Linked DNA regions of Cricetulus griseus. Each later gene encodes a partner of the first gene's protein in a complex. Links are inferred from orthologs where the notes say so. Each region holds a gene or a part of one and is shown on either strand. Other genes may lie near its edges.

Region 1 (4,239 bases):
GTGTACATGCTCACAGAGCCATTAATGCCATTCTAGATAGTAAACCTGCCCACACACAAACTTACCAGTTAAAAATATGTTTTATATATTATATATATGTTTTATATATTTATATATGTTTTATATATTTTATATATATGTTTTATATGTTTCCATGTTTGCCTCAAGTGCAACCACCAGTAGCTTTTCTTAACTGAGAATTTGCTCTGGTCTGAGCAAGTAGCTGCCAACATTCATTTGACAAATTGAAAGCCGTCATGTGCTGGAAATGCATGAAGCTGAAGGACTCCTTTCTGAGCTCCTTAGAGCTGAAGTATCTGTTTTAAAGACTGCACACATCGTCATACCCTTGTGTCACCAGACAACCTTCTGTCCCCACCTCTGCTTCTTCTCAACCCTCCTGGAAAGTCTCAAAAAGCCAAATAAAGCAAAATCCAAAGGTCTTCAGCTCCTCACACTCCGTTGCATCCCAGAATGCATTACTCCATGGCCTTCCCCGCCAACTAAATCTACTTACATTTTGTACTGCACAAAGTAGACACTGCCATTGGTGGTGAGGGAACTTCCTGGCTGCCAGCGCAAAATGTTGTGGAAGTTTCTGGACTGAAACTGGACCTTCTGAGGTTTCAGAGATCCATGGGTGGGCTGAATTCCTAAAGTGGCAAGAAGGACAGCATTGGACATTACTGTGATCACTACTGTTGTGAGCAGCAGCAGGGTTTCATGTATTTTCTGCATCAGGAGCCCCTGGGGAGTCACTCTAAGGGAAGGCAGTGGTGACAGAATTAAAAATCAACATTTTTAACTCTTCAGTATGAGATTTTGATGCATGATGAAAGTCCCCTCCCTTCTCCAGTTCTAGCGAATGAACTCAGGACAAGTTCTCTGCCACTGAGCTACACCTGAGTCTAAAGTAAAATTGCAGAAGGATGTGTTTCATACTAGAAAAAGAAAGGTAATGATACCATTCCCCTAGCACTTCCCAATGGGTAAAGGAACTAAAACTCATGGAAAGAATATAATCTCTTGTTTATTCCCAAATAGTGATAGGATGTAATGACTGTGATGAAAGACCAATTGTCTGTCTACTTGCTACAAGTACTCAAGAAGAGTTGTCCAGATTCACCAACCCACACTAGTGGGGGAATTACCCAAGACCTGCTGTGGGCTCTGGTGAGGGTGCAAAGTCATAGGCAGGAGAGGGCAAGACTTTGCATGGAAGGATTATTTGTGTTTTCTTCTTCAAATCATATGACAAGGGTGACCTACCTTTACCTGCATTTAATCTTACAGAGAAAAGAGATCTATAATAAGATTTATTTCAGGGGCCCAAGTTTCTGGCAAGGGAGAAAAGGATGGTTTCCTTGGGTATTTTTTCTTTTCCACGGATGGTGTTGACATTGTTTTTTGTTTTGGTATGTTTTGAAGGCCTCCTGCCATGCATGAATGTTGCTATGGACTTGGAAAAGGTCTATTACCACGGCTTATTTTGTGCACCCAAATCACTACCTGATTAATCCTATTTAGCACATAAAAATTATCAGGAGATGGCAGGCAGTTTCGTGAAGACCCACCCAGACTTGGCTTGTTAACCTGAAGATGGTTGGCTCCTTGCCCTCTGTCTCTTATGTCTCTGGACTTGTCTTGGGTTTTTCTAACAGCTTCACTGTCACCATGCCTTCTCAGTAACAACTCAGTGCACAAAGCACTGAGGGGCTTTTCCGTCATCTGCTCATTGAACATGCCCAGCTCCTCCATGCTAAAGATACCGGGGAAGTCTTCCTCTTATGGTCTAGAGAATGAGCCTTGGAGAAGTGAAGGAATCTGCCCAGGAGCAGGTGGTAAAGCTGATTTTGTGCCCAGGCTGACTCAACAGCCTGCTTCTTACTACTGAAAACTAAAAGTAAAGCCCTGGATGAGAAGGAGCTGATGGTGGAGGCAGAATAATGCAATAATAATAAGCCTTTGCCTCCTTCAATTTCTTCCTTCTTGATGCTTATTAGTGAACAGATAGAAATATTCATCAGAGGCTATGCTCATTCTTTTCAAGTTATACCCAGACAACTACATAAGAGAGATACTATTATTACTGCATTTGCAGGTATGGATACAGGCACAACAAAGTTACACATCATTCCCAAGGTTACAGGTGTGCTAAAGCAGGGTCATTTTGCCAGCACTTGAATTCCTGCCAAATGAGTCCTTGCTACCACAGAAAAGAGGAATAGCCTACTCTAGTTCCCATATTTCTGTCTGGTAGAGGCTGGGGTCACTTTAATGTAGAGTCATAGAACAACTGCATAGTTGTGGGCACTTACTTAAGCCATTAAGTGAGAGTTCCCATCTATTGACTTTGGGACTCCAGGGGCCTTTCTGAGCAATTTGTCTTGATAAACTGTTCTTGAAGAATTCTTTGTAAACGCCATTTGCTTGTGGTCTCTGTTCTGGGGTGGGGGGGGCGCTTCTCTAAGCATATACACTAACTCTAAGTCTCCACAGTAACCTCCAATCTTCATTCCACAGATAGGAAAAGTCTCGTATCGGGTAATGAACTGCTTTCTACCATGAAGGGGCCTTTCTCTGTCCTGAACTCAGGTACCTGTGGAGCTACTTATTCAGGATGCAGAGAGAAACTGTTCCCCTAACCTGCTGGGACCATTTGGTGACATGACAGAGTCCAGAAAATCATCCAAGCCATTGTTAACCTTGTCTTGATCAGACTCAAAGTTTGCCAATTAGAAGGAAGTAAAGTACTTACCTTTTGCACTGATCAGAAAGGACATGATGAAGAAGCCTAGAAAGCAATGGTTCGGCATCATGGTTGCAAGTGTGCCTGTCTGGCAACCAATGTTCCTTTCAGTGTGGAGACTGCTGAGAAGAGGGAACTGTAAAAATCCACACATGGACCGACCGTCACTTCCGTGGGCTCAACCAATGGCAAATGTTTCCTTAAAAGAAATTTATGTTGTTACATTATTTTACCACTAATAGGAATCTCTTAACAAATATAATATAGTTTGATAGCAAATCCTGAGGTCCTCAGGGCAGGGTGGGACAGGAATTATGCAAGGTGAGTTAAATGAATCTTCAGTTCGGCTCTACGAGTAAGGGTGGTTTCTGGGGACCAGGAGGACTTTAGAGTAATATACTTGGCAGTTGTGTCTGCCCCAGCCCCTGGCAGCTATTCAAAGAGGCAACTCTTTTTTTATAGCTTCTCAGTTAGTCACTCTGGTATTTATGCCTCAGGCCCCTTGACAATGACTCCCCACAGAGCCCCATGCTATATATACTCTTAGCTTTTTCTTCTCCAAGGTGGCCTTGAGTCCCTTTCAATAAATGTCTCTCCTTTCCTATTTCTACCCCACAGTTTTCAGCAATTAAACTCAAGGAAGATCTTCAAAGTTGCCAAACCAAGTGATGCCTGAAGAGAGTGATTGTGGAAGACCGTTAGTATGAGCTGCATTAAATCTGGTTCCTAGCACCCATATAATCAGATTGAACCAGCTCCTCTGCTCATTGTCAAAGCATCATCATATTGCTCTACCAAAAAATTTCCCCTGTGTTTTTAAGGACATTTAAAAAATGCATATAAGCACAACAAAGTCGTAGGTTTTTTGTTTGCTTTGCTTTTTTTCTGCTTTGAAGAGACTGGAGGTCAAAAGAGGAAATGCACTCTGGCTTCTTTTTCATTGTATATTAATGTAAAAAAAAAAAAAAGAAGGATATGACTGCTGCTAGGTATGGTGGAGGAGGTTTATTTCAGATATGTGAGAGAGAGCATAGCCAGAGACAGTAACTTCTGGGAGAGTCCAGAGTGGACATGACCCTGAGCCATGTGAGGAGAGGGGGGAGGGAAAGAAGAGGGGAGAGAAGGGGACCAGGTGCAGCAGCCAGCAGGCCCAAAGTAACCAAGAGAGTGGGTAACAAAATGGTTGGATTATGTAGGGAAGGGCCATTCAACCCTCTGGAATGGAGAGTTCCGAGTAGAGGCCAAGGCATGCCAGCCAGGAGGGCCCTGTAACAGGTAAGGACTGAGGGAGAACCTGGCAGCCAGGTCCACTTAGATATGTTAAATAGAAATCCCAGTCATTTGTCCTTGGTTTGAAACCCAACATCTAGGCTTTTGTTGATAATGAGTAAATAAAGGGCGATGCAATCTTTATGAGTATTTCCTGCTGACACTGGGGCTTTGTTGCTGGGGCGGGTGGGGGCGGGGGTAGGGCAGGAAAGCCAGAATGC
Region 2 (4,190 bases), on another chromosome or scaffold:
GAACTGGCACAGCACTGAAAAGCTGCAAAGCCTTTAATACTCGACAGAAGAAAACAGCCATGTCCAACACACTGTGCTCAAGAAGAAAATAGTTAAGTTAGATAGAAGACCGATAAGACCAGGCATAGCACTAATAATTCCTTCAACCAGAGCCTCTTTGTTTCTGAGTATTTAATTAGAAAAGCCTCACTTTCACTGCTGCCAATCATGCCTCTGTTTTAGGGTGAGTCATGCTCCCTGACCTGAGCCTCCTGCCACTGTTCTTTCCCCCCAAAGGGGCCATGCAGCAATGTTGATCACTGTAAAGCTATGCACTAGCTCACAGTAGGGAAGTGCTCAATAGTGGCGTCTTGAGGGTGTGAAAGTAAAAAATAAGAAAATTTATTTCCCTGTAATAAATCCATGACTGATATTTTCACTTTTGAAACCATGTAAAATAAATTGGAAGGTTATCTGCTCTTGTGTTTAATCTTCAATCGGTAGCTATCAGGCACTATATTATAATTCTGGTTATAGTTATTAATGTCAGTGATTCCAAATATTCATCGTATATACAAGTCCAGCTCTTTTGCTACTATTCTGATTTTTGTCACATTTTAGAGCATCAGTTTAATAACCTAATGCATGCTTCTTCAAATTATATGAGTAAATGGGAGCCAAGACTTTCCTGTCAAATTAATTATGCTAAAATAATTTCATTCACCTGCTGGAATGTAAGTGCTGAGCAGGAACCCAGGAGTTCCAGCACTGGCTCTGCCACCAACCGTCCTCAGAGCCCAGGCTAATGACACTAGCTGAGCTAAGTTTTCTACTAGAATTTATGACCTACAGATTTAGAAACAGGCTAAATGATATATAGGCCCAAGTAGATGCACACGCAGCAAGTAATGGATCAGATAGTAGAGGAATCAAGTAAAATGTTACAAAGTAGAGGAAGGGGAGAAAAAAAAGGCGAAGAAAGAAAGCTATGCTTCTCCTGTTAAATGGCTTATGATATCACTCGTCAGTAGTACCTGTTTTACTGTCTCCTTCAGGGTTTGTACATTCTTCTGGATGCGCTGGCCATTACCACTGATTTGCTGCAAAATAAGACAGAACTCACTCACTAATGGAATCTCTGTCGTGTGAAAGCCTATACCTCAGTGCATCAAAGACACGTGACCATTCACCTGGAATGGAGATATTTAGTAATTTTTGCCCACAGTGACCTAGATTTCACTGGGTGACCTAGATTCTCTGGGACACTGAAATCCAGGTACTTCCCTTGCAGAAGAGCTGTCCTCTTCTCTGGGGAAGCCTACTGAGGTTTCCACCAGCAGCAAGAAACCTAAACTGAACCTCATCAAAGGTGGGAACAAAGCACAAGAAATGAGCAGGAAGCATCTTACGTGAAAAGTGGGTCCTCCCAGTCAATGCAAGGTCCCTTCAGCCTACCAACTCCTCATGGACATGGCTCACAGTTTAGGGTGTCTGGGGTATCAAGCTTATACACTGACATTTCTTAACTTCCAGTCTGAACAAAAAGGAGTGCGCTTCTCACACGCACACCCCTAACCATAAGAACGTCCTCTTCCCCTTTGACTTTTGCTCTGTGCCATTCCCTCCCCGCAACAACTTCTACTCAGTGGATATATTTCCTCATCTAGGCCTTTTTTCTTACAGTTCCCAGCATTTTTCTCATTATGCATAGGTCAAGTTGCTTTCTTTCCACAGGTAAAATTAATAAGGCCTTACCCCTACAAACTCAAACTATGACTCAAATAAAGCCAAAGCAATCACTTTGCGACTGATTTCAAGTGGCCTCCGATGTTACTGAGGTCCTCCTAGTTGCCAGTCTCACTGCCAGGGTTGGGAAGGAGGGAGGAGGGGACCACACACTCTAATTGGAATAGGAGAAGAGGGAAGAAGGTGAGAGGAGAGGAGATGGATGCCGCTAAGAGAAAGACTTACACAGAGGCTGAGCTGGTTGCTTAGCTTGGTCAGGAAGGGTACCACCTGCTGCATGTAGGGCTGGAATCTGTCTGACTGGGGAATCAGCACTTCTGCAAGGGTGAAGTTGAGTACCTGCTTCATCAGGTAGCATCGATTATTCCTCTGAAGGTAGAAAGGAAGCAGCAAGGGTTACATTACAGGACATCACACAGGATCCATCAAGTACTGCAGCTAATCAGGAGATGGATACATTCCCTGCTCCTCATGAAGAGAACTTACATTGACTCCTTGGAACAGTTCATCTCCAATGAGTCGGACATCTGTGTTGTTATCTGCAAGGCTGGCCTGGAAGAGAGAAAAGCCTAAGAGCCTGGTTGACAAGGATGTAGAAGAAAAGCCTGTAAGTAGAAATGTATGCTACCATAGGGGCTAATGGCCAGCCACTGAATGTATGAGTTTAGAACAGTGCACAGAGAAGTGAAAAAGTCAATAATAGGTGACTTTCACATGGCTCCTCTATGGATAAAATGTAGTGTATGAATCCTAAAGGCCAAATATAAGAAAAAAGGTTCTAATTAAGATCAGGTCCTCAAAAAGTCTCTAAAGAGACATAGAAAGTCTCCACCTATGGAAACAAAGTGTGGCTAAAGAGCTCACAAAGTGCTTCAGAGAAAATGGCAAGGGGCCCTTGAATCCCCAGTAGACATGAAGAGAGAGATGCCTATGTACCTCCTCAGCCAGCCTGAAGGTGCGGTTGGTGAAGTATGGCCGCTGGAAATCAGACACATCAAGCTTGCAGTGGGAAGAGATGGGCAGTCCCACTGCCTCCTGGGCCCACAGGGCAATGAGAAGCAGGCAGCTGGCAGCCAAAAGCCCCATAAAGGAAAAGCTCATAGACTTCTTCTGCAGGACGGCCATCACAGACAACTTAAATGTGAACAATTGATAACCGGGGAAGGAGAACCTGCTAACAAGGGAACAAGAAGCAAAAGCATGAGGGAAACAAGTTAGTCGGATAGCTTCCCACCAAACAGATCAACTCATTGCATCAGTCTGTATGCTTACCTGTTTCGGTAGCTCTGCTTGTGATGGGTAAGGCAGAAGTTGCTGCTTTTATAGCCATAGGACACCCGATTTTTGGGTATCTGAACCATATGACATCAGACATTATCTAATTTCCAGTTCTGTCTTCTGAGAACTCCCTAACCACCATAGGAGGCCACAGAACACCGCCTCCCAGCCTTCCCACCTTGAGACATGAAGCCTTTCCTAAAACGTCATTGTATGAGCCCAGAAGGTGCTTTTGCAGACAAATCCCAGAAATCTTCTAAACTCTACATGTTTTTCAAAGAAAACAATTGCTTTGTTGTAGTAGATTCTGATTGAGTATAATCAACTTTGATCTCCTGTAGTAACTGAGTCAGCATTTTGGTCACGAACTCATTTTCCTTTCAACTTCATAGATTCTTATCTCTTTAGAAGTGACCAGAAATAAAAGACCCATGCCCTATATTCTGTGCTTTCAAATAAGCAATGACAAAAATTTGGAGCTTATTTCAATTTTTAGTATAATTTTATCCCATTTTTTAGTATACAGAATGCTTAACTACAACTAGTTTTTAAAAATAACAGGTGTTGGCTAATATAACTGTTTTCTCACGGGTTCCATTCCCACAGATATGCTCATACAGAGACTGTTTTTGAGTGAGCAAACAATTATGGTAGGTGAAAAAATGAAGATTTACTCATAAAATCATAACTAGGATCAATTTAAGTTTGGAAATATTGGTAGTGAACAATCCAGTAAACATTTTTTTCTGTTTTTTTTTTTTTTCAAGACAGGGTTTCTGTGTTTAATAGCCCTAGTTGTCCTGGAACTTGTTTTGTAGATCCAGCTAGCCTCAAACTCACAAAAAATAGAGGTGATTTGCCTTCATGGCTCTTCTTCAATTTTGACCTGACTCTCCTTACTAGCTTCACTCTTGTCTCTGGGTAGGAAATAAATAACTGCAAGAAAAAAAGAAAAAGACAACAGAGAATTGCAAAATAGTTTTTAATAGTAACATATGTACCATATGTCATATTCACCAGTGGACAGACCATTAATGTCAGTGTTAGCATACAGGTATTTCATGAGTGTGACTAAGAGTCACTAAAACAAAAATGCAACCTGGGGCTGTCTGTAGGTTTCCCAAGAGTTGCAGAGAGGACATCAATAGTGATTGCTGTTAGAATGCAGATGTAGCATAGAGATGCCC

The links. The genes of interacting proteins can lie anywhere in the genome.
Region 2: the proteins of Il22ra2 (region 1) and Il22 are in contact, whole or in part, in a crystal structure (PDB 3G9V), measured with the Homo sapiens proteins. The link is inferred for Cricetulus griseus from reciprocal best matches to the Homo sapiens genes IL22RA2 and IL22. Residues at the interface, in NP_443194.1 of Homo sapiens: Lys65, Ile66, Tyr99, Gly100, Gln101, Arg102, Trp104, Gln128, Glu129, Pro130, Tyr132, Met148, Pro150, Arg151, Thr153, Trp155, Trp156, Glu157, Glu200, Pro246, Met247, Leu248, Asp249, Arg250; in NP_065386.1 of Homo sapiens: Phe47, Gln48, Pro50, Thr53, Asn54, Phe57, Met58, Lys61, Ser64, Leu65, Asp67, Asn69, Thr70, Asp71, Val72, Arg73, Leu74, Lys162, Gly165, Glu166, Asp168, Leu169, Met172, Arg175, Asn176.

What each region holds. Positions count from the first base shown.
Region 1 is NC_048595.1:270,154,932-270,159,170, forward strand, and holds the start of Il22ra2 (interleukin-22 receptor subunit alpha-2), read right to left. Parts: upstream 2,817-4,239; coding exon 2,759-2,816; intron 654-2,758; coding exon 518-653; intron 1-517. UniProt on the Homo sapiens protein: Isoform 2 is a receptor for IL22. Binds to IL22, prevents interaction with the functional IL-22R complex and blocks the activity of IL22 (in vitro). May play an important role as an IL22 antagonist in the regulation of inflammatory responses.
Region 2 is NW_023276806.1:138,230,925-138,235,114, forward strand, and holds the start of Il22 (interleukin-22), read right to left. Parts: upstream 2,851-4,190; coding exon 2,662-2,850; intron 2,278-2,661; coding exon 2,212-2,277; intron 2,095-2,211; coding exon 1,951-2,094; intron 1,080-1,950; coding exon 1,014-1,079; intron 1-1,013. UniProt on the Homo sapiens protein: Cytokine that plays a critical role in modulating tissue responses during inflammation. Plays an essential role in the regeneration of epithelial cells to maintain barrier function after injury and for the prevention of further tissue damage.